Linked DNA regions of Anolis sagrei. The protein of the gene in region 1 interacts with the protein of each later gene in a pairwise test. Links are inferred from orthologs where the notes say so. Each region holds a gene or a part of one and is shown on either strand. Other genes may lie near its edges.

The links.
Region 2: the proteins of BPTF (region 1) and MAZ interact in a two-hybrid assay, tested with the Homo sapiens proteins (2 studies listed by BioGRID). The link is inferred for Anolis sagrei from reciprocal best matches to the Homo sapiens genes BPTF and MAZ.

What each region holds. Positions count from the first base shown.
Region 1 is NC_090022.1:180,069,442-180,085,647, reverse strand, and holds the start of BPTF (nucleosome-remodeling factor subunit BPTF), read left to right. Parts: upstream 1-10,128; 5' UTR 10,129-10,376; coding exon 10,377-11,100; intron 11,101-16,206. UniProt on the Homo sapiens protein: Regulatory subunit of the ATP-dependent NURF-1 and NURF-5 ISWI chromatin remodeling complexes, which form ordered nucleosome arrays on chromatin and facilitate access to DNA during DNA-templated processes such as DNA replication, transcription, and repair.
Region 2 is NC_090026.1:17,342,357-17,358,527, reverse strand, and holds the start of MAZ (myc-associated zinc finger protein), read left to right. Parts: upstream 1-10,106; 5' UTR 10,107-10,385; coding exon 10,386-10,628; intron 10,629-14,484; coding exon 14,485-14,574; intron 14,575-16,171. Other genes in the region: MVP (major vault protein), read right to left, coding at 3-124. UniProt on the Homo sapiens protein: Transcriptional regulator, potentially with dual roles in transcription initiation and termination.

The DNA.
Region 1 (16,206 bases):
AATATACTTCAAAAATATTTTTACCTTATGTTCACTAGAGCAGGGCTTCTTAAACTTTTGCAACCCATTAACATTTTTCACCTGAGAATTTTTTACTCGACCCTGAGTGTATAGGGATATCATATCACTATATACATCTAAATAATAAATAAATGTACTTCAAAACAATTTTTGCTATAGCTATACATAAATTTTACCATTTTACCAATTTTTAGCTATACATAAATTTTACTCTGAGTTACAAACATTTGACTTACAAACAACCCATCATTAAGAATGGGGTTGAGGCAACAGAAAGTGAGAGAAATCTACTACTAGGAAGGGAAATTCACTCCTGAAAGAGTTATCATGCTCTCAAGCTCAACTCAAGCTCTTATCACCAATCCTTGTTTCCACTACAGGTCACATTTTTCAAAATCCAATTCTCACAAAGACAAAAAATGAGGCGAAATCTTCCAAATGAGCACAGACAGCAAAACAATCACCATAGGGATGTTAACTTTTTACACTAAATATTTGGCACGTGCAATCCATGGTTCTAAATGGTTCTAAAGTACTTACAAAACTAAAGTTCTGGTGGTGAAAACTAGAGGGCGTTGGTGCTTTGCTTCTACAGTGTTGCTAAAATTCTGGTGGTGAAAATTTCAGAACTCTAACAAAACTTTCAAAATTTCATTATTATTTCATTATTGATTATTTTATGACAGAACCAATTAGGAACTGCCATTTATAATGAAATTTTGAAGCTTTTGTTAGTGTTCTGAAATTTTCACCAACAGAACTTTAGCAACACTGTAGAAGCAAAGCACCAGCACCCCCTAGTTTTCACCACCAGAACTTTAGTTTTGTAAGTACTTTAGAACCATTTAGAACCATGGATTGCACATGCCTACTAAATATCTATTTTGGCAGGAGTTACACTTAAAAGTGTACCTGTTCCAACTTACATGCACATTCAACTTAAGAACAAACCTATAGAACCTATCCTGTTCATAACTTGAGGACTACCTGTACTAAAGTTGAAAACTAATTGGAATACTAATGAGATGGGTGTGCTTGTTTATTTTTAAATTTAAAAAATCTTGGTGGAATATTTGATACTACAGGACACCGTATCATCAACATTTTTCATGCCATGATTTGTCACCGCAAGTGGCAGAATATTTGGCATTTGGTTGTCATCTCAAGTGGCAAAATGTACTCTGGCGACTCTTGCTTTTCTCCTGGATTCATATAAATATCTAAAACATTCATTATACAAAATTTTGGTGACAACCAGATTCAATTAGGGGCCACAACCCACTTTGCACCAGAGAGCATAGGCTGTATTTTCATCACATTTTGTGGGGCCTGTGGGTTAATTTAAGTCCTGGAGAGGATGTTTTTAAAGTCCACAAACATGGTGAAATTCTCTCCATAACCCCTAGCAGCTTTGTAGAGAGGAAGTGGACATTTCTTTTGCAGTAATAGATGCCGCCCTCCAAGGTCTCCTGGGGGCCTAATGGAGCTACCTGGCCTTCCACAGTTGTCTACACCCATCTACATAATAGATGCTGGCAAAAGAACTAAAGATGCATCCCCCTTCTACATTCATTGCCTGGATGAAATCACCTTCAATACACCAATACCGAAAAGGAGAAAAACATCAAAGTATCCTGTCTCACGTCAAAGGCTTGTTCTCTGAAACACAGCTAATCATGTTTTTCATATGGCTGCCGTTGTGGTACAAGGCAACAACCAAGCCACAATTATTGCTCACAGTGCCACAGAATCTAATATTTACTGACTTTTACAAAGCTACACATGTTGGACAGGAAGCCAGAAAACAACAGCAACAAAATTGTTGAAAACTGAACCCCAAAATAATGAACCCCACAACGATGAATTAGTGAAGCCATGTGGACTTCATTCCCAGTTTCAGTTTTATTTTTATTTACCTCCCCTGGAATGCTACAAAGAGACCATACATACCTCAGACTTCAGGGAAGGGTAACACCTTTGTTAATACAATCCCTTCACAATATCCCAGGAAGTGATATGGAACACACAACCAGCTTACGCAAGAGCCTCTGGGTCTTTTCCTGTTTTTCCTGATATGATCAGGTTTAATCCTAGGAACACTTCCTCATCTCAGTCACCAAATTAGATCCCCTTCGGGGGTTCCCATTGAGATTGCCAACACCTTGAGCACCTTTTGTTTACCCAACTGGCACACATTGTTTTAACCAGAGCTGGGATATCAAGACCAACTGCATCCCCTTCAATCATGCCCCTATACTGGATGTATCAATAAATTGACACAAATCTTCAAAATAACCCAATGACAGTTTATAAAAGTTTTCCACCACAGTTAAGACCAACCAACATGGCTAAAGATCTTTGAAAGTAAAAAAAAAATCACAAAAAATTATAAACAATTATTGGAGTGGAGCACTGAAAAAGATCTGATTAAAAACTGCATGATCAAATGGGCAAAGGACATAGGAAGAACAATACCGCTAGAGGACTGAGAAATAATGTGGAATAGGAGAATGAACTATACCTATGCGTACGCTCTTAAAGAGAATTGGATTAAAATGCTTTACTGATGGTATATGACTCCACATAAAATAGCGAAATTCAATAAAAATGTGAATGATAGGTGCTGGAAATGTGGGAAGTGTAGAGGGTCCTTCACCCATATGTGGTGGACCTGTGAAGTGGCTAGATCTTATTGGATGGAAATCTCAGAAATTTGCCAAAAAGTACTAAAAAAGAAAATCCTATTCAAACCTGAAAGTTTTCTTCTAGAGATGATAGATATACAGTGGAGTATCAATGAAGACAGGCTCTTTTCCTATATGATTACAGCAGTGAGAATAGTCTACGCTAAGTCGTGGAAACAAGAAACTAGGCCACAGATAGAAGAATGGATAATGGAAATTATGGATAAACTGACATATTTACTGACAGAGGCCCACAATAAACATATGAAGAAGACGGATTGGACACCCTTAAATATTTGGATGAAAGAAAATAAAGTACTTCTATTAATAGAACAGAAACAACAACAAGAATAAATCTCATTTATACAGACTCACTGCCAAGGAAATGAAGAGTAGAGAAATGTTTACTGTAAATGCTTATATGGTGAGAGACGGAAGAACACCCCCCCCCCCAAGTGTCTTCCCTACCCCTGTCTTCCCTCACCCCCTTCCTTTTTCCCGTACCCTAACGCACTCCCCTCCCTTTTCAAAGCTGTTTTTATTGTCAATGAAAAACCATGAATAAAATTATTAAAACAAAGACCAACCAGGGGAGTAGATCTTAGCTGGCCACATGTCCGGCCAATCAGAAGCCAGTGCAGTAGTCTTGAATGTTAGAAATAAATCTTTAAAATCAAAATGCTAGAAATAAATATTTTAAAAATAAATGTTCGCAATTGCAGTATGTCTATTATTTGGAGCACCGTCTCCACTGACATCCTCTTTTGCCATTGAGAATAAAGCCTCTGTTTTTGCTTCATCTCATCTGTGCCTCATCTGGCTTCCTGAAGGCTTGATACATTGGGCTCCGAACCTGTGGTCCTTACAGAAGCTGAAATCCCATAACAAAAGTATTAGCAGAATAAACCATGTGTTATATGTTGTATATGTGAGTCAAATGGTTATATGTTAGAAAAGGGAAACCTTGCCAATCAAAGTTGCCAAAGTGGAAACATTATTTCCACCACCTCCAAATGTTGTTGTTGTTCATTCGTTCAGTCGTCTCCGACTCTTCGTGACCTCATGGACCAGCCTACGCCAGAGCTCCCTGTCGGCCGTTACCACCCCCAGCTCCCTCAAGGTCAGTCCAGTCACTTCAAGGATGCCATCCATCCATCTTGCCCTTGGTCGGCCCCTCTTCCTTTTGCCTTCCACTTTCCCCAGCATCATTGTCTTCTCTAGGCTTTCCTGTCTCCTCATGATGTGGCCAAAGTACTTCAACTTTGTCTCTAGTATCTTTCCCTCCAGTGAGCAGTCGGGCTTTATTTCCTGGAGGATGGACTGGTTGGATCTTCTCGCAGTCCAAGGCACTCTCAGCACTTTCCTCCAACACCACAGCTCAAAAGCATCGATCTTCCTTCGCTCAGCCTTCCCTAAGGTCCAGCTCTCACATCCGTAGGTGACTACAGGGAATACCATGGCTTTGACTAGGCGGATCTTTGTTGCCAGTCTGATGTCTCTACTCTTTACTCTTTTATCGAGACTGGACATTGCTCTCCTCCCAAGAAGTAAGCGTCTTCTGATTAATGTCCAAATGATTAATGTTAAAAGATACCATAGTTTAAATGGTCTGCTTTCCCTATTTTCTATCGCCCAGTCATTGATCACAGCCATTTGTGTGCTTGTGTTCGGAACAGAAAGAAAAGGATATCACAAATATCATGCAGAGAGTGAGAGGAGGCAAATGCATTTTCTCCTCCGCTATTTGAATGGGAGAACCTACTTCTTTGTACTATGTATCATAGGTGACAAATTCGGGTGCTTCTCTGTTAAAAGGTAGGCCCAACTGTTTTGTTATGTATTTGTCTTTCCCTTTTGTGGTAAGAGCTGTCTGTGGAGAGCTTTTGTACTAAGAGAGCTTTTGTGACAAGCTTTTAGTATTCCTTTGGCTTTCAAAGCACAATTCTGAGGACTGAGATTGGGAGACCTCTATAGGTTGCCATGAAGTGAAATGTAATTTGCAAAAGAGATGGGTTCAAGCTAGCCTTTTGTTTTGTTATTGCACTGGATGGCTAAATTATTTAATGCCTACCAACTCTTACCATCAGAAAGTTCCTCCTGATGTTTAGGTGAAATCTCTTGTCCTGCAATTTGAATCCGTTGCTCCATTGTGTCCTAGTCTCCAGGGCAGCAGAAAACAAGCTTGCCCCTTCCTCAATGTGACGTCATGGCTATTATGTCTCTTCTCAACCTTCTCTTCTGCAGGCTAAACATACCCAGCTCTTTCAGTTGTTCCTCATAGGGCTTGGTATCCAGACCTTTGACCATTTTAGTCTGGACACCTTCCAGCTTGTCAATGTCCCTCTTAAACTGTGGTGCCCACAACTGGATGCAGTGTTATTCTAGGTGGGATCTGACCAAAGCAGAACAGAGTGGGACTATGACTTCCCTCAGTCGCAACACTGCACTCATGAGTAACATGTGGCTATATTTGCAAATGGGTCTTATAGCAATGTATAGAGAATTTGGTAGTACTATAAGCTTTTCTCTCTCTATGGAAATGATACCAGATCCCTTTGCATATGGATATTGCAGACTAAAATGACCATGCCTTTGAATTCTGTCCTGGATACATAGATACTAAAACTGGCTTCCAAAACCGAAAGTCCAATTTAGACTTGGAACATGTGCAAACCCCAAGCATGCCATGGAAACATAATTGGGATCAACCATACTGTGAACAACTGTGGGGTAGTGATTCTTTGCAAACACCCCAAATGAAGTCAATTCCTGGTTTGTGTACCTGGTTTGATTCCATCGGCGCTGCCTCCGAAAAATCCTGCAAATATCTTGGGAATACAAGCGGACAAATGTCAGCGTGGTGGAAGAAGCAAAGACCACCAGCATTGAAGCGATGGTCCTCCGCCATCAACTCCGCTGGACTGGCCATGTTGACCGGATGCCCGATCACCGTCTCCCAAAACAGTTGCTCTACTCCGAACTCAAGAACAGAAAATGGAATGTTGGAGGGCAGGAAAAGAGATTTAAAGACGGGCTCAAAGCAAACCTTAAAAACTCTGGCATAGACACTGAGAACTGGGAAGCCCTGGTCCTTGAGCGCTCGAGTTGGAGGTCAGCTGTGACCAGCAGTGCTGCAGAATTTGCACAAATGGAGGGCGAAAGAGAAAAACATGCCAAGAGGAAGGCGCGCCAAGCCAGCCCCGACCAAGACCACCTTCCACCTGGAAACCGATGCCCTCACTGCGGGAGAAGATGCAAATCAAGAACAGGGCTCCACAGTCGCCTATGGACCCACCGCCAGGACACTACACTTAGAGGACCATCACCCTCGGACTATGAGGGGTCGCCTAAGTGTACACCTTACTTCTTCAAGGTTAGAGAGCACGGAAATTTTTACTCTAAAGATCTCTCTAAACCTGATGCTAGCACTGTATGGAAGTAATGTGCCTGGATGCAGAATGGTTGCCGAATTGTTAATCTCTTCTCTGGGAGGCTGCAAAGTGATGGCCACCAGGCTGGCTTCTTTTCTAGTAGATTTTATTGTATTAACTCAATGTTTTAATTATTTATAATTACTGTTTGTTGTGTATTTTATTGTGTTTAATTGCAGGCATCGAATATGTGCCGATTGGAAGACGACCTGAGTCCCCCCTAGAGGGTTGAGAAAGGCGGGGTAAAAATACCTGAAATAAATAAATAAATAAATAAATATTATCAGTGAAGACTGTACCCTTTAGTGTACTCATTGCGGCTACTTATTAAATTTAAATCCCGACTTTCTCCCAACATAGGAATCAAGGCAGTGTACAGAACAACAACACAATACATTTTAAATCCTTAATACACAAGTTAAAACACAAATAAAGTAAATTTAATTTTTTTAAAAACACAACTGAAAAACACTAAAATGTTCAAAACACAATAAAATATAGTACTAACACACAGAGACTTCTCATTAAAAGCTCTATCTGCTGCAATATACTGAAAACTAAATGTCTTCTTAAATAAAGAATGGACATTGCCTGCCAGCAGATGGAGTCAACCTGATTTCCGATGTAGAAAGTTCCACAACTGGAGAGCAACCACTGAGAAGGCTGTGCTCTTTCATGTCCTCTATGTTATGACACAATATAAGGCAGAAATGGTTAAGATAATACATTCTTAAGTGCTTTTCATACAATCATCTGTCTATCTGTCTGTCTGTCCGTCCATCCGTCCATCCATTTTGAGGGGGAAGGGGATAGGTTGATATATTTTTAAGCTAAGGAGGCTGTTAGTAAGGTGGCTGTTCAAGTCCTGAACTGTAACGGACTAGATGAGGGCCAACAGATTGAAACTAAATCCAGACAAGACAGAGGTACTCCTGGTCAGTCAAAAGGCTGAACAGGGCATAGGGTTACAGCCTGTGCTTGACGGGGTTACACTCCCCCTGAAGGCGCAGGTTCGCAGTCTGGGAGTGATCCTGGACTCCTCGCTGAGCCTGGAGCCCCAGGTCTCGGCGGTGGTCAGGGGAGCTTTTGTACAATTAAAACTTGTGCGCCAGCTGCACCCATACCTTGGGAAGTCTGACTTGACCACGGTGGTCCATGCTCTGGTTACATCCTGTTTAGACTACTGCAACGTTCTCTACGTGGGGTTGCCTCTGAAGACTGCCCGGAAGCTCCAATTAGTCCAACGAGCAGCAGCCAGATTACTAACAGGAGTGCTGGTGTTAACCTATAAATCCCTAAACGACTCCGGCCCAGTTTACCTGTCCGAATGGATTCTCCCCTATGAACCATCAAGATTGTTAAGATCTTCTGGAGGGGCTCTGCTCTTGGTCCCACCATCCTCGCAATCACACCTGGTGGGGACGAGGGACAGGGCCTTCTCGGTGGTGGCCCCTCGGCTCTGGAACTCTCTCCCACTGGAGATCAGAACTGCCCCTTCTCTTTAGAAAACAGGTGAAAACCTGGCTCTGGAAACTGGCATTTGACGAGTGAGTTAATAACCCGTGACTACACAGACGGATGGTGATGAACTACGATTTCATTTTGAAGACTTGGCCTATGTAATTATATGATTGTATTTTAGTATTTTAATGTTTTAGTGTATTATGGGATGTGATGTTTTTAAATGATTGTCTGTGATACTATTGTTGTGAACCGGCCTGAGTCCCTCTGCAGAGGTGAAAAGTTCTAAATAAATAAATAAATAAATAATAAGCTCCCCTATTAATAAGATAGAAAATTTTAAAATATGTGTATATTGTATTGTATTGTTTAATTGAATGCTATGTTCACCTGCTTTGCATGGGCAGACCTATGCCAAACAGGGCAGGTATACTCGGCAATTGAGTTTACAGTTAGGCGATCCCTCGTTGTCCGAGGATGATGGTTCTCCAGGGTCAGTGTGCAGTATGTGGTGGATCCATAGGTGACTGTGGAGCCCTATTCTTGATCTGCATCTTCTCCCACAGTGAGGGCATTGGTTTCCAGGTGGAAGGTGGTCTCGGTCGGGGTTGGCACCTTCCTCTTGGCACTTTTCTCTCTTTTGCTCTCCATTCATGCTTCTTCAAATTCTACAGCACTGCTGGTCACAGGTGACCTCCATCTGGAGCGCGCAAGGGCCAGGGCTTCCCAGTTCTCAGTGTCTATGCCAGAGTTTTTAAGGTTGGCTTTGAGCCCATCTTTAAATCTCTTTTCCTGTCCTCCAACATTCCGTTTTCTGTTTTGAGTTCGGAATAGAGCAACTGCTTTGGGAAACAGTGGTCGGGCATCCAGATAACGTGGCCGGTCCAGCAGAGTTGATGGTAGAGGACCATTGCTTCAATGCTGGTGGTCTCTGATTCTTCCCAAGAGATTTGCAGTATTTCCCAGAGACAGCGCTGATGGAGTCATTCCAGGAGTTGCATGTGACGTCTGTAGACAGTCCACGTTTCGCAAGCATATAGCAGGGTTGGAGGGACAACAGCTTTATAAATAAGCACCTTGGTATCCTTACGGATGTCCCGGTCCTCAAACACTCTGCTTCATTTGGAAAAATGCTGCACTTGCAAAGCTCAGGCAGTGACTTTGGTGGTGCCAAGGTAGCGGAAATGGTCAACATTTTCTAATGTTACACTATTAAGCTGTATCTCTGGCATTGAGTAAGTAAGACAGACCACAGCAATGCGTGGCCGTCCCCTGCCACACATTGCTGTGGCCCAGTCTGTGTATATGTTTTGTGTGTGTATATATGTGTTTATGTGTTTGTATATATTTGTGTATATATGTGTGTGTGCATATATATATATATATATATATATATGGGTGTATACATTTGTGTATTTCTGTGTGTATGTGTGTATATATGTGTGTTTGTGCATATATATGTGTGTTTGAATGTGTGCATGTGTATATGAGTATATGTGTATATGTATATATTGTGTATTTTTGGGGTTTTTAAGTCTGTTTAGCTGGGGTTGTGTGTGCTTGTGTGTGTTTATTTAGGGGTGATGGTCACTTGTTGGACTGTTAGGTGTATTGTGTCCAAATTTTGTGTCAATTCGTCCAGTGGTTTTTTAGTTATGTTAATCCCACAAACGAACTTTACATTTTTATTTATATTGATATCCCAGTTCAAAGCGGAAAATATGGGGTTTTATTCAGCTGTGTGGAAGAGGCCTCAGATAATCCTGTACAAGGTGATATTGTGGATCATCTGCCTTGATCTCCTGGGTTCTGTGGCTGTGTGGAAGGGTGCAGAGGGCCCTTCCACACATCCATATAACCCAGAATATCAGTATCTGCTTTGAACTGGGTTATCTAAGTCCACAATGCCATATAACCCAGTTCCATGCAGATATTGTGGATGATCTGCCTTGATATCCTGGGTTCTGTGGCTGTGTGGAAGGACCATATAACCTAGAATATCAGTATCTGCTTTGAACTGGGTTATCTGAGTCCACACTGCCACATAACCCATTTCCAAGCAGATATTGTGGATGATCTGCCTTGATCTCCTGGGTTCTGTGGCTGTGTGGAAGAGCTATGTAACCTAGAATATCAGTATCTGCTTTGAACTGGGTTATCTGAGTCCACACTGCCATATAACCCAGTTCCATTGCAGATATTGTGGATGATCTGCCTTCATCTCCTGGGTTCTGTGGCTGTGTGGAAGAGCTATATAACCTAGAATATCAGTATCTGCTTTGAACTGGGTTATCTGAGTCCACACTGCCACATAACCCATTTCCAAGCAGATATTGTGGATGATCCGCCTTGATATCCTGGGTTCTGTGGCTGTGTGGAAGGGCGCTGGGAGAGGAGAGCCCTGCCGAGGCTCCTCAAGCAGTTCGAAGGCCTTCTGCTGGGCCGCCGCCGCCGCCTCGCGCAGCCCTCGCGCGCCCCCTGGCGGGCCCCCCTTGCGCGCGCAGCCCTGCCCACGTGACCCTCCCAAGGCCTGCCGCCGCTTCCCCGAGTCTGAGGCGAAGAAGAAGAAACAAGATGGCGGCCGGCGGCGGTCCGGAGCGGGGCGCCGGCGCTAGAGACTGAGCCCTTCCCCGGGCCGGGCCTCCGAGCTCCCTGCCGGGCCTCCGGGTCTCGTCCCCCAGCGCGGGGAGGAGGCGCTCCCGGAGCGCCCGCCGCCCTTCTCCAGCGGCCTCCCGAGCGGCCTCGCAGTCTCCCTCAGCCTGCCAGCCAGCGCCCAGCGATGCGGGGACGGCGAGGCAGGCCGCCTAAGCACCCGCAGCCGGCGGCTTCCAGAAGCGGGGCCTCGGCTGCCGCTGCGGCTTCCCCCACGGGGCCCACCGGGGGGCTGAGGTCGCGCCTGCGGGGCAGCAGCCGGGGCAGGTGGGCGGCCAAGGCCCAGGCGGGCAAGGCGGCCGGGCCCAGGCCGAGAGGGGCGGCGGCGGCAGCAGCATCAGCGGGGGGCTCTCCTCCCACCCGAGGGGGCGGCCGGAGGAAAGGCGGCGGAGGGAGCAGCACCCCTGGCGGGGGAGGCAGTAGTGGCCGGGGAAGGGGCAGGGCGGCCGCAGGAGGAGGAGGAGGCGGAGGCAAGAGCCGCCACAGCAGTAGTCAGGGCAGGGCCTCCTCTTCCCGGAGGAGCAGCAAAGTCGTGTACGACGACCATGAGAGCGAGGAGGAGGACGACGAGGAAGAAGAAGAGGAGAGCGCGTTATCCGAGGAGGAAGAGGAGGAGGAAGAGGGAGCCGACTCCGAGGGGAAGCCCGGCTCGGATGAAGAGGAGGCCATGGAGGGCGAGGAGGAGGACGAGGAGGTGGTGGTGGTGGAAAACGAGGAGGAGGACGGCGGCGTCGGTGCAGGAGGCATCCCTTCGGACTGCCCCGAGGAGATGGAGGAGGAGGACGACGACGATGGCAGCTACTGCACCGAAAGCAGCTTCAGGAGCCACAGCACCTACAGCAGCACCCCAGGTATAATCATAGAGTTGGAAGAGAGAGAGAGACCACATGGGCCATCTAGTCCAGCTCCATGCACAATCAAAACACCCCTGGCAGATGGCCATCCAGCCTCTATTTCAGTGTTTCCCAAACTATAGTTCCCTAGGTGTTTTGGCCTACAACTCCCAGAAATTTATTTTATTTACAGCATTTATATTCCGCCCTTCTCACCCCACAGGGATGGAGCCCCTGGTGGCGCAGTGGGTTAAACCCCTGTGCCGGCAGGACTGAAGACCAACAGGTCACAGGTTCAAATCCGGGGAGAGTTGGATGAGCTCCCTCTGCCAGCTCCAGCTCCCCAAGCGGGGACATGAGAGAAGCCTCCCAAAAGGATGATAAAAACATAAAATCATCCCGGCGTCCCCTGGGCAAGGTCCTTGCAGATGGTCAATTCTCTCACACCAGAAGCGACTTGCAGTTTCTCAAGTCGCTCCTGACACGATAACCCCCCCCCCCCCACAGGGGACTCAGAGACTCATATATAGCAAACATTCAATGCCAATTTTGGCATACGACGTATACAGACATACACATAAACAGACATATAAAGACATATACATAAATTCCAGCACCCCAGGTAGAATCATAGAGTTGGAAGAGAGAGAGAGACCACATGGGCCATCTAGTCCAGCTCCATGCACAATCAAAACACCCCCGGCAGATGGCCATCCAGCCTCTATTTCAGTGTTTCCCAACCTATAGGTCCCTAGGTGTTTTGGCCTACAACTCCCAGAAATTTATTTTATTTACAGCATTTATATTCCGCCCTTCTCACCCCGCAGGGGACTCAGGGCGGATTACAATGAACACATACATATATGGCAAGCATTCAATGCCAATTTTGACATACAAGGTATACAGACATATACATAAATTCCAGTCAGTTTGCCAGTTGTTAGGATTTCTGGGAGTTGAAGGCCAAAACATCTGGGGAGCCACAGGTTGAGAATCTGCTCTATTTAAATGCCTCCAAAGGAGGCGCCTCCACCACACTGCCAGTGGTTCTCAACCTGTGGGTCCCCAGATGTTTTGGCCTTCAACTCCCAGAAATCCTAACAGCAGGTAAACTGGATGGGATACCTGGGAGTTGTAGGCCAAAATACCCGGGGACTCACAGGTTGAGAGCAGGTTGATTTAATTCAGGGGTCCTCAAACTATTATTTATTTTGCACATTTCTACCCTGCCCTTCTCAACCCCCGAGGGGGGACTAAGACCCGGGGGCCAGATACAGCCCTCCAAGCTCATTTACCTGGCCCTCGCTCAGGGTCAACCTAAGTCTAAAATGACTTGAAAGCACAGGATAACAACAATTCCATCTCATCAGCCAAAAGCAGGCTCACACTTCCCATTGAAATACCAATAAATTTATATTTGTTAAAATTGTTCTTCATTTTAATTATTGTATTGTTTTAAAGTGTTTTGCACTACAAATAAGATATCAGTGTGCATAGGAATTAATTCATGTTTATTTATTTTTTCAAATTATGACCTGGCCCTCCATCAGTTTGAGGGACTATGACCTGGCCCTCTGTTTAAAAAGTTTGAGGACCCCTGATTTAATTGATAGTGCAATATTGTTGTTTTCTGTTGGGTTTTCGTATGTATGCGATGAGGTATTAAATTTTGCCATGAATATGTTGGAAACCACTTTGAGTCCCCCTGGGGTGAGAAAAGCAGTATACAAATGAAGTAAGTAAATAAATAAATAAACCACTGCTCAGAGGGAAGGAGTTCCTTCTGGGAGGGCTCCCTGAGGGCCATCCAGTCCAAACCCTATTCAGCCATGCGGGAGTCCAGCACAATCAAAGCATTCCCCACAGAGAGCTATCCAGTCTCTGCTTAAGTCTATTTAAATGCCTCCAAAGGAGGCGCCTCCACCACACTCTGGCAGTGGTTCTCAACCTGTGGGTCCCCCGATGTTTTGGCCTTCAACTCCCAGAAATCCTAACAGCAGGTAAACTAGCTGGGATATCTGGGAGTTGTAGGCCGAAACACCCGGGGACCCACTGGTAGAGAACAGGTTGATTTAATTGGTAGCGAAACGTTGTTATTGTTGCTTTTTCATATGTATGCAATGAGGTATTCAATTTTGCCTTGAATATGTTGGAAACCACTTTGAGTCCCCCTGGGGTGAGAAAAGCAGTATACAAATGAAGTAAGTAAGTAAATAAATAAATAAACCACTGCTCAGAGGGAAGGAGTTCCTTCTGGGAGGGCTCCCTGAGGGCCATCCAGTCCAAACCCTATTCAGCCATGCGGGAGTCCAGCACAATCAAAGCATTCCCCACAGAGAGCTATCCAGTCTCTGCTTAAGTCTATTTAAATGCCTCCAAAGGAGGCGCCTCCACCACACTCTGGCAGTGGTTCTCAACCTGTGGGTCCCCCGATGTTTTGGCCTTCAACTCCCAGAAATCCTAACAGCAGGTAAACTAGCTGGGATATCTGGGAGTTGTAGGCCGAAACACCCGGGGACCCACTGGTAGAGAACAGGTTGATTTAATTGGTAGCGAAACGTTGTTATTGTTGCTTTTTCATATGTATGCAATGAGGTATTCAATTTTGCCTTGAATATGTTGGAAACCACTTTGAGTCCCCCTGGGGTGAGAAAAGCAGTATACAAATGAAGTAAGTAAGTAAATAAATAAACCACTTATCAGGGAGTTCCTTCTGGGAGGGCTCCCTGAGGGCCATCCAGTCCAAACCCTATTCAGCCATGCGGGAGTCCTGCACAATCAAAGCATTCCCCACAGAGAACCATCCAGTGTTTGCTTAAAAGGTTACCACCTCACTTATGAGGCAGTACACCACTCCTGTGTGTTTTTATTTTTTGAGGGTAAGGAGAATATGTTATATGTATTGCATATACCAATTTAAAAGGTTTTAATGATTTTAAACTGGGTTGCTGTGAGTTTTCCGGGCTGTATGGCCATATTCGAGAAGCATTCTCTCCTGATGTTTTGCCCACATCTATGACAGGCATCCTCAGAGGTTGTGAGGTTTGTTGGAAACTAGGCAAGTGGGGTTTATAAATCTCTGCAATGTCCAGGGTGGGAGAAAACCCTTGTTTGGTTGAGGCAGATGGGAATGTTGCAATTGGTCAGTTTGATTAGCACTGAATAGCCTTGTAGTTTCAAAGCCTGGCTGCTTTCTGCCCAGGGGAATCCTTTGTTGGGAGGTGTTAACTGGCCCTCATTATTTAATGTCAGGAATTCTCCTGTCTTCTGAGTTTTGTTCTTTATTTACAGTCCTGATTTTATATATTTTTTTAACACTGGTAGCCAGATTTTGTTCATTTTCATTGTTTCCTCCTTTCTGTTGGAATTGTTCACATGCTTGTGGATTTCGGTGGCTTTTCTGTGTTGTCTCTGTGTTTTTAAACTATTTTAAAGTGGTTCTCGAGTTTCATACTATTTCACGTCTGTAGGTTTTGATGTGTATGTTGTGTTGTTTTAGTGCTGTCTGCTACTTTGAGTCTTAAGAGGAAAAATGTCCTATAAGTAGTAATAATAATGATCTCTCCAGGGTGGCCGGAGGGTCACTTTGCATGCCAGGTTGGAGGGGGTTTTAATGGGTTTGCAAAGCAGGCGGTTCTGGGGCAGATGTGCATCCTCTGCAAAAGGGTAAATATTAAGCATGGTGGAGTCTCCCTCATTACCCAAAAAGCTTGGGGCCAGAAGTGTTTGGGAATTCCTTTCTCCTAGATTTTGGAATATTTGCATTTGCCTGAAGAGATATAATGGAGATAGGACCCAAGACTGTACACAAATTTGTGTTTCTTTTACTTCATATAAATCAGTGGTTCCCAACCTTTTTTTGACCAGGGACCACTCTCCAACATTAGTATCAAAAGGGTTACGAATCAGTTTTTGGTTGATTTTAGATTCAATTTGGTTATTTGGGCCGCTGAATCAGAAAATTGCATTGGCTAGACTACATCAGCTCTAGTTTCTGATACGTATATGCTATCCAGTAGTCGTCATCTGCTAACCCACAGAAAACCATATTTAATAAGCCTCGGCACTATAAGAGAGTTTCATGAGACCAGTCACTCTCGTTGCACCGTTGTAGTAATGGTGAAGCTGTGGACCGTATTTGATTTCTTGCAGACCACTGGTGGTCCATGGACCACAGGTTGGGAACCACTGATATAGATGGAAGGTGACTTTAGGCATATTATTTTAAACATAATTTTGTTCATGAAATGATAGATGATAGATCTTAGCCATCCATGTCATCTATTTGGAGTATTTTGGCATTCTGATTAAGGGATGCTCAACCAGTGCAAAAAAGGGTCTTCTGTCACAGATGTGTCTCCAGAAACGTGGCAGAAGTTTTAGAAATTAAAACTTTAAAAACCATGGGGAGTGCTTGATGGTGGGAGGGACTGAGGAAGTCAGCAGGAAGTAAGCATTGCCTGGCAAGAAAGATGCCTGTATCACCAATTTGTAAAAACAAAAACAAAACAAAAAAGCCCAACAGCAATAAAGGAAGGAAGCATGTTCAGGATGCCTTTGACTTCGATAGAACAAAAATATTTTAGCAGATACCAGACTGTCGATATGTAGGTTTGTTAATGGAAAGATGAAAGCAGGTGCATTTAGAATGGAAATAAAATCAGTAAGTAGTAACGAGTACCAATGAGTTGAATATAATGAAACCCATCTGTATTTTTTTATTTTTTAAAGACAAAGTTATATCTTTTTACTACGATTGGATAACTTATCCAGTAATTTCAGTTTCAACCAATTTGGTTACACAAAACATTTTTATTTAGTTGCATTGCTCTTTTTAATTTTCTCTGATATTGTAAAACCTCATATTCGGCTTTTAAAAAAGTTATACTAAAACTAGTATATGCTCGACTTCGAATAGTTTGCAGAATGTGCTTTACATCGTAAATAGGTTTTTGGGAAAATGTTATTACATGACATCATGTATGTTTAACTAAAAAGTTGGCAAGAGTGAACCTTTCCAAAATTGTCTTATCTAGACATATATGCTTTAGAACACTGCTTCATAAACTGTGAGTGCTGAACCCAAATGGAATCAGTGTTAGGGTTGTGAAAAATTTGGCAGCA
Region 2 (16,171 bases), on another chromosome or scaffold:
ACCTCTCATTGTCTTGACGGATGTAAGTCTTGGGCCCCACCTCCACACGAGTCACGTTTGAGTTCTGGTCCAAGACATGAGTATAATGGTATGGTGGGATCCGGATGATGGATTCAGCAGCCATTTTGTCTTCTAAAGAATAAAATAAATAAATAAACTTTATTTATACCTTGACACCATCTCCTGGAATGAATTCGGGATGGCTCACAAAAGCACTCTGGAGCGCCGCACATAAAATAAACAGTACGTAAGCATATAAATTATAACAATATAAGTTTACAACAGCGAACACACATAAAACATCACATTAAAATTCATAAAATGCCTGCGGATAAAACTGGCCGTCTTCAATTGACGATTCAAAATGCCGAAGTGAAGCAATCACTAAATCCTCAAATCTAACCATTAAAATCTTTTCAAGGGCAAAGGCCTGTTTAAAAAGCCATGTTTTTAGACTAGACCAAAAAACTTGGGAGAGTGGGGACTAACCTAATGTCTCTGGGGAGGGTATTACAGAGCTGCAGGGCCACCACTGAGAAGGCCCTCTCTCTTGTTCCCACCAACCGTACTTGGGACAGTGGTGGGACTGAGAGAAGGCCCTCCCCGGCAGATCTCAGAGTCTGCTACAGTTACTAGGAGGAGATGAGGTCTCAAAGATAGGTTGGATCCAAAACGTATTGGGGCTTATAGGTAATAGATTGCACTTTGAATTGGATCTGGAAACTTGTTGGAAGCCAGTAGAGCTGTTTTAATAGGGACAGAGTATCTCCCTATAACTAGCCCTAGTTAGTAATCTGGTTGCCCATCTTTGCACTGACTGCAGCTCTTCTGAACCGTCTTCAAAGACAGCCCCACATAGAGTGCATTGCAGTAGCCCATTCTGGATGTAACTAAGGCGTGGACCACCGTAGCCAAGTCTGGCTTTTCAAAGTAAAGACGACTACAGAAGGAATGAAGCATTAGATTAGAATCCTCTGGGACAGGGATATCAAACTCATTTTCACTGAGGGCAACATCAGCCTTATATTTGGGGCATTGACTCCATGGAGGGAAAATCCATGGATACAGAAGGCCAACTATAATTTATTTTACATAGTGGTTGGTGCTCTTGACTTTTTACCCAATTTGGGCCCCCAGGTGTTATTGATCCACAACTCCCATAACTTTTTATTATCTGCCATGCATACTGGGGATAATGGGAATTGCAACCCATTCGCATTTGAGATTCTGAGGTTGGGAAAACATTAAAGGTTTTAAAGTCAGGCCTCATATCCACAAGTCTTATATCTAAATTCGAACCATGCTGTCCTGGTTAAACAGAACAAACTGCAGCCTTCCAGGTGTTGCTATATCACAACTCCCATCAGTTCTAGTCATGATATCTAACGAGGAGAAATACATCTTGGGAATTAAGATCATCTGTGGAGGCCATGCTTTTAGTCCCACCTGCTTTGCAAACATGGCTGGTGGGGACGAGAGACAGAGCCTTCTCAGTGGTGGCCCCTTGTCTATGGAACTCCCTCCTGAGGGATATTAGATCAGCCCCCTCCCTCCTAGCCTTCAGAAGGAGAGTCAAGACCTGGATCTCGGAGCAGGCTTTTGAAAACTAATGCAGTACAATAACCTTAATGTGGAATAATGTGCAATTTGACTACGAAATGGCCTTAGACTCTGGATTATGGATGGTGTATTTTTAACACTGGCTGGAATGTATTTTATTATGTTCAATATGTTAGTTTTTATTCCAATTTATTTTAAGTCACTATTGTATGTTGTGAGGCATTATGTAAGTGCCAACTGTAAGCTGCCTGGAGTCCTCCTCGAGGTAGAGAAAGGCGGGATATACTGTATATACTCGAGTATAAATCTAGTTTTTCAGCCCCTTTTTTAGGCTGAAAAAGCTCCCCTCGGCTTATACTCGAGTCAAGGTTATTTATTCTTTTACTCTGTTATTAGTATTATTTTATTACATTTATTATTTCACTCTATTATTATTATATTTACATTATTTTGTTCTATTATTGTATTTATTATTTTGCTCTATTATTATTATTATTATTATTATTATTACATTTATTATTTTAATCTATTTATTATTATTATTATTATTACATTCACAGTATTTTACCCTATTATTATTATTACATTTATTATTTTAATCTTTTTATTATTATTATTTTTATTATTTTTATTATTACATTCACAGTATTTTACCCTATTATTATTACATTTATAGTATGTTGTGCTATTATTACTACATTTATTATTTTACTCTATTATTGTTTTATTGCATTTTCATTATTTTACTCTATTATTTTTATTATATTTATTATTTTAATAATAAGCACATTTACATTGAAGGAGGCTAGAATAATGGTTTAATAAGAGTTGGGCAGTCATATCTTAAATTACAGTTTTATGTAAATATTCAGAAACGTTTAGCCTATTGATGCCTCAATTAATGTAATTTTATTGGTATCTATTTTTATTTTGAAATTGACCCATAGTGGATGCATTTCCCACCCTCGGCTTATACTCGAGTCAATACGTTTTCCATGTTTTTTGTGATAAAATTAGGTGCCTCGGTTTATATTCGGGTCGGCTTATACTCGAGTATATACGGTAAATAAGGTAAATAAATAAATAGATAAATACAGGAGTTGTAGTCCAGCATTTGGAGAGCTGCACAGAATTACATAGTGGGCTGGATTCAGCCAGTGGGCCTTGAGTTTGATGCACGCAGTTTGAGAGAAGACGCCATTATGGCAATGGCCTTTAACCCATTGCCTTCCAGGTGTTTTGGACTCTAAATCCCATTTCCCTTAGACAATGTGGTGTCTACTGGCTCGGGATGATGGGAACTGAAATCCAGCAAATCTGTAATGTGCCTAGCGGGGTAAGAAGCTGTAGGGCAGACACACCCTGTCCTCTTGCTCATCTCTCCTCCAACCACTAACTGGCAGGGCTTTGAGGAATCCAGAAACACCCAATGCCCACTGTAACGCAACACATTTATTGTGTTTAATCCTTCAACAAACTGAGGAAACCAGCCTGGCCTGTATCGGGAAGTTATGATACAGAAAACCCTTGAGGTCCTATTACAGGGACACACCTACTTCCAGTAACTAGAATAACCCTCCCCATGGCTATGCGTTACTAGCAGCTCATGACTCTTCTGATCACGGAAATGATAGGAAATGAGCTTACCAGACCTAAATCCTGCTGAAAATGTAAACTTCAGGCTTAACTCCTGGACAAGCCTAGAGCAACTTGAGCTGGAACAGGGAGAAAGGTGGCAAATTCAGATTTCTATGCAATGAAACCAACAGGAAGAATCAGAGTCCACATTACTCAAGGAGTCAGATGGACTGCTTTATGGCAAAGAGAAGTTCTCCACCCATTTTCTGAGCAATCATTATAGCCCTGAGATCTCATACAGTCTTTAATCAAGCAACTTTCTAACTCTAGAGAGAAATAAATTACAAGGGAAGGAAGTGAGACCTGGAAAACAGTGGGAGACTCCCATTTCTCACTTGGAAGGTGCAAGAGAAGGAAGGAAGGAAGGAAGGAAGGAAGGAAGGAAGGAAGGAAGGAAGGAAGGAAGGAAGGAGGGAAGGAAGGAAACCTTACCGTGCAAGAGAGCTTGTTTTCTCTTTCTGCTATATCCTCTTGTGGGTTAGGCAAAAATCCCCCCTCCCTAAAGATTTATTTCCTGGTAGAGGAGGAGCAAACTCTTGTGGGGAAGAGAGCCTGTTAAAGGGCAAGCAGATTATGAAATATTCTCCTTTACACATGAGTCATTGGAAAACATAGGCAAATCATAATGGCAAAGCAGGCATAAGGGAATGTACCCAACAACTGAATGGCGAGGAGGGATACTTGCAATACATTTTGAAGTGCAGCCAACCCCTTTTCATTCAGGTCTGCATGAAGATGACTTGGCCGCAAAAGATGGCATGTGTATGTGTGTATGGGGCAATGGGGTCTCTATGCTGCATGATGAAGATGTTTGTGGTTTCGACATTGGACAACTTGGGAGAACACGCTGCTTGGCCCTTAAAACTCACTGAGTGATGGGGTGTGAAACTTATGGCGATCGTTCATGTGAAAGGGATCTAGGAGGGATCACAACCTCTGAGGATGCCTGTCATAGATGCAGGTGAAACGTCAGGAGAGAATGCTTCTGGAACATGGCCATCCATCCCGGGAAACTTCCAACAACCCTGTGATTCCGACCATGGAAGCCTTCACATGGAAGATACACGGATCTAGGAGTCTGAGTAGACCACGAGCTGAACCTGAGTCAACAGTGTGATACTGCAGCTAAAAAGGACTCTAAGATCCTTTTCACTCGTCCTGCTATCGAGCCAAGTATGGTCCCCCATTCTGTATCTTTGCATTTCATTTTTTCTGCCTAAGTGGCGTATCTTGCATTTGTGCCTGTTGAACTTCATTTTGTTAGTTTTGGCCCATCTCTCTAATCTGTTAAGATCAGACACCCCTATCATGTTGCGATTTCATATGGTCTCCAGTCTTGCCACATTGTTGCTGTTGTATGTCTTTGACACATTGTATGCCTGGTTATAGGGTCACCGTAAGTTGGAAACTTACAGAATCCAATGGGATTTTTGCCTGCATAAATAGGAGTCTGGTGTCTTGATCCAGGGAAGTCCTGCTACCCCTCTATTCTGCCTTGGTCAGACCACACCTGGAATCACACTGTGTCCAATTCTGGGCACCACAATTGAAGGAAGATGTTGACAAGCTGGAATGTGTCAAGAGGAGGGCGACTAAAATGATCAAGGGTCTGGAGAACAAGCCCTATGAGGCTTAAATAGCTGGGCATGTTTAGCCTGCAGAAAAAAAGGCTGAGATGAGACATAATGAGGGCCGTGTATAAATATGTGAGGGAAAGTCATAGTGAGGAGGGAGGAGGCTTTTTTTCTGCTGCCTTGGAGACTAAGACACAGAACAATGGCTTCAAACTACAGGAAAGGCGTTTCCACCGGAACATTAGGAAGAACTGTGAGAGCTATTCAGCAGTGGAACTCTCTGTCCCGGAGTGTGGTGGAAGCTCCTCCTTTGGAAGCTTTTAAATAGGCTGGATGGCCATCTGTCAGGGATGTTTTGAATGTGATTTTCCTGCTTCTTGGCGGGGGGCTGGACCGGATGGCCCATGAGGTGTCTTCCAACGCTTATAATTCTGATTCTTGGAGGGGGAGACACAAAGGGGGCAGTTCTATAGCTACCCCCCCCCCCAATCCCAAACAGGATCAACGACGTAATCTGCTGGAGTGCCAGGACAATCAATTGGCCTTCCCCACACTAGCAAATATATGAGACAATAACAAGACTTAAAAGTTTTACTATCACTTGTTTCAAATTAGAGTCGAGGATATCCGAGATCATTTTTGCGTCGAACTAGCAATTTGAATGGCAATATTTCTTTACCGTGATCCATGTAGAAAGTACTGCGAAGGGTGAGGCAATCCCTGATCAAACACTATAAAAACTAGTGTAAGTTCTGTTTACTTTCCTGTTTTCAAAGGCACTCAAGCTCATCTAGAGACAAGGATTTGGGCAGTATAACAACAAACGCTATGGGGCAGGGCTCCTGTGCCTTTAACAGCTTGATGAAAAGAGGGAATGTGGCAGGTGTACCTTTGTGTCATTTTGCTCCCATACAGAGAATTCGGGGTAGTTCTTAAAGACACAAACAAACATAAGCTCTATCCCAAATATAATCCACTTTCTTGCATGTTAATGTACTGTAAAGAATATGTAATATATGTGGCTTGGAGTGATTCTGGCCATGAAAGTCTTCTACCACACATATTTTATCATACATGGGCAAGGACACAAAGAACTAGAGTGGAAAGACAGCTTGCAGTATTGATATGTATTTAGGGGCAGTTGATACAGTGGGCGTATTTTTATTCCATAAAGCACAGATTTCCAAATATTCATATAGAAATGCTCCCTTGGTTTATGAAAGCTACCGCCTCACCATGCTTTCCCAAAGTGCTATGCTTATAATATAATGTAATGTAATATAATATAGTGTATATACATATATTTATAATATATTTGTAATATTATTAATATTACATGATATATAAATATGTAATTATACTATCATATTATTAGTATTATATTGCATTAAAATACGAATATTATTTATTTATTTATTTATTTATTTATTTACAGCTTTTATATTCCGCCCTTCTCACCCCGCAGGGGACTCAGGGCGGATTACAGTGTACACATATATGGCAAACATTCAATGCCAATTTTGACATACAACATATACAGACATAGACAGAGGCTATTTAACTTTTTCTGGCCGCCAGGGGAGCTGTCGCCTTTATCGTCCATCTGCGACGCTGATGAAGTACTTCCGCATTCCCCACATGCTTTTTGTTGGAGTGCTTGCTGAAGTCTTTTTTAATGGTCTCATAAATTAGTTAATTTAGCCTCCCCACACTTTAAGGTGGTACCTTATTTTCCTACTTGACAAATGCAACTGTCTTTCGGGTTGCAAAGGTCGACAACAGGCTACACAATGGTTGGAAACCCACTCCAACCTGGGCTAGCTTCGAACTCATGACCTTTGGTCAGAGTGATCTTAATGCAGCTGACACTCAGCCAGCTGCGCCACAATCCCAGTGCATTATATATATATATTTCTTGTAATATTAATAATATTACAATATAATGGTATAGTACTATAAAGTAATAATAATAATAATAATAATAATAATAATAATAAACTTTATTTGTACCCCGCCAACATCTCCCCAAAAGGGACTCGGAGCGGCTTACATGGGGCCAAGCCCGAACAAAAATTACAATATAACAATACAAATTACAATCAAATAAAAAACATAATAGTAAAATATAAAACATCATAATATTTAACATAATATTTAATACTGATATTGTACTATGCTAATAACATATTGTATGTATGTATATATATGTATATATCTTGCAAGCCGCTCTAAGTACCCTTCGAGGTGAGAAGGGCGGCATACAAATGTCCTAAATACATAAAGTCGGGTCAGCACTCAAATGAAAGCAAATCATTTCACGCGCCATTGAATTGCATGAAAACGTGAGGTCATACATCAACCAGCAAGTTGCCAACCTCTACCAGTACGCATGCGCTGACTTTCTCCCGCAGTCTCCCTGCTTGGAGCACACGCATGCGTAGAACAGTCCTTTTCCTGGATTCGGGCATCTTGCCGCGGATGCGCGCTGGGGACCCATGGGTCTTGGAACGGCCGACCATTTTGGCCGCGCATGCGCTCTTAATGTTATTTACAAGAACCTGCCCGGGCGCGCGACCCGTCGGTCAAGCAGCCCTTCTGCGCACGAGCGCATTGTTTTCCGAGCACCCGCCTCCGTCTACCAGTCCTGGCTTCCTTACATGGCGCATGCGCACTTCAAAAAAACCTCCCCACCGACCATAGCACCGCGCTTTTCAACCCCGCATGCGCGTTGAAAAAATTGACTTTCAAAAATTGCGGGTTTGAATACTTTTTAATTTCACCCAGCTATTTAAAAAAAGAATCTAAAATGGGGCCTTAATTCACAGAAGGACCAACTGAAGGGTAGCGTTGGTCACGCGAGAAGGCGGCCTTTTTGTTGTCGTAGTAGTGTCTCCTCTGGCGCTAAGCCGCCCGCCATTTTCTTTGCCTTCTTGCTCAGATCGGTTACGTCATCGCTGTCGTGCGCAAACCTGAAGTGTGGTGCAGTCCTGGGTGTTTTTCCTCAGAAGACCAAAGGGCAATGTTCCCTCTAAGGCACCCTCATAGTGACAAGCAAAATGGAGTCCCTTTGGTTCACTGTTTCTCTCACTGTAGCTACAATTACCCATTGAGGAAATCTTGTTGAACCTAGTGGAACCTTTCTCCCTCTGAATAAACTGAATAAAAAACTAAATCTGAAACGAACACACTAATCCAGGCATGGGTTGGGCCCTCCAGGTGTTTTGGACTTCAACTCCCACCATTCCTGACCTCAGGCCTTAACTCCCACCATTCCATGGGCAAACTTGGACCCTCTAGGTGTTTTGGACTTCAACTCCCACCATTCCTGACCTCAGGCTTTTTCCTTTTCCCCCCTCAGCCGCTTAAGCAGCTGAGGGGGGAAAAGGAAAAGGCCTGAGGTCAGGAATGGTGGGAGTTGAAGTCCAAAACACCTGGAGGGCCCAAGTTTGCCCATGCCTACACTAACCTAAATGTTTGCCCATGCAGAGGGGAAACAATCAGGCACATCTAATCACCTCTCAACAAAAGATTGCCCCAGGCACTGCCAGGCCATCAAATGCTAATCAAGGTGGTCAGTTGAAACATTCGCACCTAGCTCCAACAGAGTTCTTTGCCCCACCCTGGTCATTCCACAGATATATAAACCCACTTTCCTAGTTCCAATAAACCTCACTACCTCTGAGGGATGCTTGCCATAGATGCAGGCGAAACGTCAGGAGAAAATGCCTCAGTCTAGAACAGGGGTCCACAAACTTTCTAAACAGAGGGCCAGGTCACAGTAGCTTAAACTGTTGGAGGGCCGGATTATAATTTGAAAAAACCACAAATGAATTCATATGTACACTGCACATATCTTATTTGTAGTTCAAAAGACACTTAAAAACAATACAATAATTAAAATGAAGAACAATGTAAACAAATATAAACTTATTAGTATTTTAATGGGAAGTGTGGTCCTGCTTTTGGCTGATGAGATAGGGTTGTTGTTATTGTTGTGTGCTTTCAAGTCGTGTCAGACTTAGATTGACCGAGCAAGGGCTGGATAAATGACCTTGGAGGGCCGTATCTGGCCTTTGGTCCTTAGTTTGAGGACCCCTGTTCTAGAGGCATTTTCTCCAAACGTTTCGCCTGCATCTATGGCAAGCTACCTCTGAGGATGCTTGCCATAGATGCAGGCGAAACGTCAGGAGAAATGCCTCTAGAACATGGCTCTATAGCCCGAAAAAACCCACAAGAACCTAGATAAATAAATGTTTTAAATAAATAAATAAATGATCTGAATAATCCGATTTAGTTGACAGAATGTTTTAAAAGCACGAAATTTGTTATTTCATGTATAGGCAAACTTGGGCCCTGCAGGTGTTTTGGTTGTTAGGAACTGTGGGATTCGAAGCCCAAAACACTTGGAGGGCCCAAGTTCGCCCATGCCTGTGTTATTGTCTGTGAACCCTGGCGGCCATTTTGTGTGAGGAGAGGCTGTCACTCAAACGAGAAAACTAACGGGGAGGGGAAAAGAGGCGACCGTTACTCGTGCGCGCGGCCGCCTCGTCCCCAGCCAATCCGATTTCGCCTCTGAAAGGCACAGAACCCTGCGGTGGCAGCGCTCGCCGCTCCGCCCAATCAGAGAGCCCTACACGGAGAGGGCCTTTGCGCGCCCCCGCGCGTGCCGGCCCCACCCAATCGCTACCTGCCGCCTTTCTCCTCCACACCCCTCCTTTATTTTTTCCCCCCTCCCTCTCAGGAAAGAAAAAAAAAACCTGTGGGAGGGGGGAGGGGGGCGCCTGAGCGGGCGCGCGCGCGCAAGGGAGAGAGAGAGAGAGGAGAAAAAAAAAGGGACCAATCAGCGCGCGCGCCGAGCTCTCCTCGCGCCGCTGCCTCCTCCTCGCTCGCTCGCTCCCCCCTCCCACCTCACTCCCCCCGCCCGCGCGGCGTCGTCGCTTGCTCCCCGCTCGCTCCCCCCTCCCTTCCCGGCCCCCCCTCCTCTTTTTTCGCCGAGACGAGCCCCCCCCTTCGTGGCCGCCGCCGCCGCCATGGACCCGAGCAACTGGAGCAGCTTCATCTTCCAGGTAACCCCCCTCCTTTTTCCTCCTCCACCTTCCCCCCCTCCCTTCGTCTAAAAAAAGGGGGGGAGAGGGAGGGAGGGAGAGAGAGAGAGAGAGCGCGGGGAAGGACAAGAGAGCTTCGAAGTTTCCCCGCTCACACCCTCCCTGCCCCGCCCCTCCCCTCGGGAATCCCAGCGGGCGGGGGGCCTCTTGCGCGCGCGGGCCAGCAGGGCGCACTCCGCACGCGCTCACTCACTCCCTCCCCCGCCCCCCTCTCTCCCTCGCCTCGCGCCTCTCCTGCTGCTGCTGCCCCAACGGTCACCTCCCCTCCGCCCAGCAATGCTGCTGCTGCCGCTGCTGCCTCCTCGCGCCTCGCGCTGCCCTGCCCCGCCCCTCCCCTCTCCTCCCTGCGCCTCGCGCCTTCTCCCCTCGCCCCCCTCCCTTGCCTTCCCCTCCGCGCGCGCCAACGGTCACCTCCCCCTCGCTCGGCCCAGCCCCTCCCTCCCCTCCCGCTCGCCTTTTCTCTCCTTCTTCTCCCTCCCAAAATGTCTCCCTCCTGAGACCCACATAGATGTACCACGAGCAGCCCGTGCCCCCCGCTTCGTCTTCTTCTTCTTCCTCCTCCTTCCCCTCGTGCCCCCTTCAACCCAAATGGCAAAGATGGCCCCTGGCATACTGCTCTCTTAACCCCCCAGAGGCGCCAGCCCCGCTCGGCCATGCTTGCCCTGCCTGGTGGCTTCCCGGCCCCCAGGGTGTGCTTGCCTTCAGGAGCAGGGGAGGAGGCCACGGCCACACTCTGCTGGGGTGTCAACAGGTGCGTGGATTTCCCCCACCTGTTTCTGTGTGCTCCTTTGAGGGAGGGGGCAAGGAAAGGGAGGAAGGAGCTCTCATGCCCTTCCTTCTTCGCTCCTGGTCCCCAAATCTAATACTAATACTAATAATTGTATTACCCATTTTACCCAACAGCCTAACTTATTTTTCCTGATCCCCAGAATTTAATACTAATGCTAATATTAATACTACTACTACTGCTAATAATAATAAATTGTATTGCCTACACACCTTACCCAACAGCCTGACTTATTTCCTGATACCCAGAATTTAATACTAATGCTACGACTACTACTAATAATAAATTGTATTTCCTACACTCCTTACCCAACAGCCTGACTTATTTCCTGATCCCCAGACTGTAATACCAATGCTAATAATACTAATACTGCTAATAATAAATTGTATTGCCTACACTAATATTGTACTATGTTAATATATTGTATGTGTGTGTGTGTGTGTGTGTATGTATGTATGTGTGTGTATATATATATATATATATATATATATATATATAGTAAGCCGCTCTGAGTCCCCTTCACAATGAGAAGGGCGGCATATAAATGACATAAATAAATAAATACACACCTTGCCCAAAAGTCTGGCTTATTTCCTGATCCCCAGAATTTAATACTAATGCTAGTAATAATATTAATACTACTACTACTAATAATAATAATAATAATAAATTGTATTGCCTACACACTTTACCCAACAGCCGGACTTATTTCCTGATCCCCAGAATTTAATACTAATGCTAATATTAATACTACTACTACTAATAATAATAATAATAAATGGTATTGCCTACATACCTTACCCAACAGCCTGACTTATTTCCTGGTCCCCAGAATTTAATACTAATGCTAATGATACTAATACTGCTAATAATAAATTGTATTGCCTACACTGATATTGTACTATGTTAATAATATAATATATTGTATGTATATATACCTTGTAAGCCGCTCTGACTCCCCTTTGGGGTGAGAAGGGCGGCATATAAATGTCATAAATAAATAAATACACACCTTTCCCAACAGCCTGACTTATTTCCTGATCTCCAGAATTTGATGCTAATGCTAATAATACTAATAATAATAGGTTTACTGTGAGTTTTCTGGGCTGTATGGCCATGTTCCAGAAGCATTCTTTCCTGACATTTTGCCACCTCTAAGTCAGGCATCCTTAGATTGTGAGGTATATTGAAAATTAAGCAAGGGAGGTTTATATATCTGGAAGGTCCAGGGTGGGAGAAAGAACTCTTGTCTGTTGGAGGCAAGTGTGCTGCCCCAAAGATCACCTCCCCTCCGCCCAGCAATTAATCACTGATTAGCATTGCAAGGCCTTGCAGCTTCAAGGCCTGGCTGATTCCTGCCTGGGGGAAGCCTTTCTTAAGAGATGTTAGCTGGCCTTGATTGTTTCATGTCTGGAATTCCTGTTTTTGAGTGTTGTTCTTTATTTACTCTCCTGATTTTAGATTTTTTAAAATACTGATGCCAGATTTTGTTCATTTTCATGGTTTCCTCCTTTTTGTTGATATTTTCCTCACGCTTGTGGATTTAAATGGCTTCTCTGTGTAGTCTGACATGGTGGTTGTTAGAGCGGTTCAGCATTTCTGTGTTCTCCAACAATATGCTGTGTCCATGTTGGTTCATCAAGTGCTAGCAATCAGGGCCAGCTAACTCCTCCCAAATAAAGATCCCTCCAGGCAGGAATCATCCAGGCCTTGAAGCTGGAAAACTTACAGCAACCCAGTGATTCCGTCCATGAAAGCCTTTGACAACATACTAAGAATAATTTTTTTTATTGCCTACTCACCTCACCCAACAGCCTGACTTATTTCCTGGCCCCCAGGGTTTACTTACCATCAGGTGCATCTACACACACAGCGTGGGGGGTCATTACCACACTGTTCCGGTGTCAGCCCACCCATTTCTGTGTGCTAACCTCTGGTTTCTTGTGGGTAAGAAAAGGCAGGAAGGACTTTCTTACCTGCCGCTCACAGCTGATGAAGATTGTGATAGAGACACGAGTTGCCTGCAATTAAAGTAGTAAATTACCTTGGGTTTACTGTGAATAAATTTGACTGCTAAAACCCTGGAGGTTTCAACCCCACTCGGCTGTACTTTCTTGCCCAAATGATACTTCCTTGTTACTTCCTGACACCCCCCCCCCCCCAAACACCAGAGTTTACTTACCCTCAGTATAGGAGGTCATTTCCACACTATATTCTGGCATCGGTGAGTGTGGTGTTCATTCCCCCACCTATTTCTGGGTATGAACCCTTAAGGAGTGGGTGGTTTCTTGTAGTCAGGAAGTGAAGGAAGCTCTTTCTCTCACTTCCTTGATCTTTCTTCCCTTGTCATCCACACCTGCTGACAGTTATGATAGAAACATTATTTGCTGCAATTAAAAAGTTGTAATTACCTTGAGTTGCACTTCTATTTTACTGTGGGTGGCCCAATTTGGTGTAGCTCTTTCAAGGGCCTCTCCCCATTGACTTTTCCCCTCATATTTGTTTGTTCTTTCACTGCCTTATGCTTTTTAACCACCCACAGCCCATGGAGCCCCTTCTCTTGACCTTCCACTTCACAGTAAGACAAAGGCCCCTTTCACACAGCTGAATAAAATCCCACATTATTGCTTTGAACTAGACTATATGACAGTGTGAAAGATAACTCAGTTCAAATCGGATATTGTGAGATTTTCTGCCTTGATATTCTGGATTATATGGCTCTGTAGAAGGGGCCCAAAATTCTCTTTAAAGTCATGATTCCTTGCTCTCTCTTCACAGTATCTCTCTAAAAAATAACCTGCTTATTGGTCTCTTGCTTAGTGCCAGCGCCGCTTCTTGCCTTGGCCCTCCTTTCTCCCGGTGCTTATCCCTCCTGCCCAGGATTTCCTCTTTGCAGTGTACTGCCTAGGCCTTTCCTTTTGCAGATAGGCCACTTGCTTCTCTAGCCACCCCTAAGTGCCCTTCTTTCCCCAGGATAAATGCACACAAGATACTGCTTTCTTGGATCCCAACTCTTCATCTATATCAAAAATCAATTCTGGTTAGTGTAGCTCTACTCCTTGGACCGGATCTCCACCTGACACAGCGCCTGCCCATATCTGCTGGAATCTCTTGTCTGCTCCCTTTTCCTCCTTCCCAGCATAATGAAATTTTCTTTATCTTAGTATTCTGTTCATTACATCCCATTTCACCCAGGGTAATTTTGTTTCCTACTATTTTCTTACAAAATAATCATTACCTCATTTATATTTTTTTTCAAATTCTAAATTATACTTATGAGAATCTACAGAAGTACTGTATGACCCCATATCCAATATCCCCAGTTTCACTCCAAAAAATATTCTCCCCCAAATGTATTTCTGGCCAACCATACTGTAGAATAGTGCTGGGGATTCAGATATGCTTATGGATCTCTCTAGGTTCTCCAGTCTTTGTTATACCACCAGCTCAAGTATAGTCAAAATGTAGGATTCACTATTATCTACAATTTCAGGAATCCACAATGGGGCTTGGGAATATCCTTCAGGGATTCAGAGTCCACACTGTAACGGAACTATAAGCCTTTGCAGTCCCCCACACACTACCAAAATTATGTTAACTTTACTTAATACACAGTATTTCCTACATTGAGCCCTTTTCTCACAGATTAAGGATGTCTGCCATAGATTCAGGTGAAACGTCAGGAGAGAATGCTTCTGGAACATGGCCATACAGCCCAAAAAACTTACAGCAACCCAGTGATTCCGGTCATGAAAGCCTTCGACAATACATTAAATTAAATTAAAAGCATTGCCTGATCTCTTTCTTTTTGTCTCTTTAGCAGAGTCATACTCAGAACCCTCTACAGGTTGGGGCCGAAATCCAGTCCAGGTTTTTTGCCGCTCAGGGCTGCGGTCAAAGCCCCTTCCAGGTGAGCTTTGAGCAACAAATGGAAAGCAGTGGACTCCTTTGAAAACAACTACCTCAATGCTGAAGACCTAATTTGTCAAAATAAATAACTTCTTCCTGTAAGGGGTTGTCTATTGTACACATTCTTTTACATTTTCTGTACCTATTAATGTTTTTTTTTTTACATTATTTCAGAGCTCTAAGATATTAGAAGTCGTGTAATTTTATTGCATTGGTGGGACCAATATAGAAATAATAACTTAAGAAAACCTATCCCATTCTATTATGTCTGTAGCAGAGTTTTGAAACACATATTCAGTGTGTACTGTTTTGTAAGAAATCTACTCTCCCAGTCCATGTAATCTAACAAGTAATTAATCTGTTTATGTCACTGTTTTGTTTTTTTAAACCAAAGAGTGTGCTCAAGACAGCTGCATGTTTCTGTATTTTTTGGTTGTACACATAAATATTAATTCATTTTTATTAATCAGCTGAGAAGTTAACAATTTAAAACTCATTTGTTACAAATTCAGATAACTTTTATCCTATGTATATTCACTTACAAGTCAGTCCAGCCACATACATTGTCAGGAAACGTGTTTCCAGTGACAGATCCAAATACTGAAGCTTCCTTCCTCTGGTGATGGTTTCTCAGTATCCAAAACCAGAGGAAATTTTAGACTGTGTTTTTAAAATGTAGAGTTGGTCAAACACAAAAGTAATGAAGACTGCACTTCTGTGCTTCTTCGTTTTCTTATAGTTCAGATTTGACAAATTTGATCCAAATATTCTGGCCAGTTTCTTATTATTGTAAGAGGGTAAATGGGGTTGTCAAATTATGATCCCTGCAGAACATGACATTCATTTTAAAATATTGTGAAAATAGCTGGTTTGTTTTTGGATTTTTGAGAAATAGAAAGATTTATGTATGAAATGTTAGATCAAAAATGGGTTATGTAACTTATTGTGATGTTTTCCCCCAAACACATTGATAAAATGTTTTGTCCATTTTACTGACAAGTGTACTGAGACTAAGTCTGCAGGCAAATGTTTACATTTCTGGGATGTCTTGTAGGGCCCATTGGAACGAACTTCCCAAATTTGTTAGCATCTGGTACTGTACACCATTTTGTCCAAGATCATGTACTAACATCTGAACTGGAGTTTTATTTTGAACTTCTCTAGTGTTCCAAATTTAACAACTACATCATTCTTGGTTTTTACTGTAAAATGATTACATGTCATGTTATTTATTGTCTCACTATATAATATATGACTTAAGATTGTCACATCAGTATAATAGTTCCTCTTTCCTGCTGTCTAAGCACTGGAATAATAAGGCTTCATCTTCTAAATTTTGCTTTACTTCAAGAGTATAGCTAATACATAAACATTTCTGAATTGTTTGAAGGATAGTATGTTTAACAGGTCTAAACATACTATCCTTCAACCCTACATTCTGTTTTCATAATTTGTTGTAAGTATTTGGGGCAAGAGTTTAGAACAAATGAATATCTAAGGCATCCTTATCCCGATTCTTTGAATTTCTTGTTTCTGTAAGTTGCCAATTATTTGTAAATCATTTCTATTCTGAAGAAATCCACAAATGTTTAGAGTTC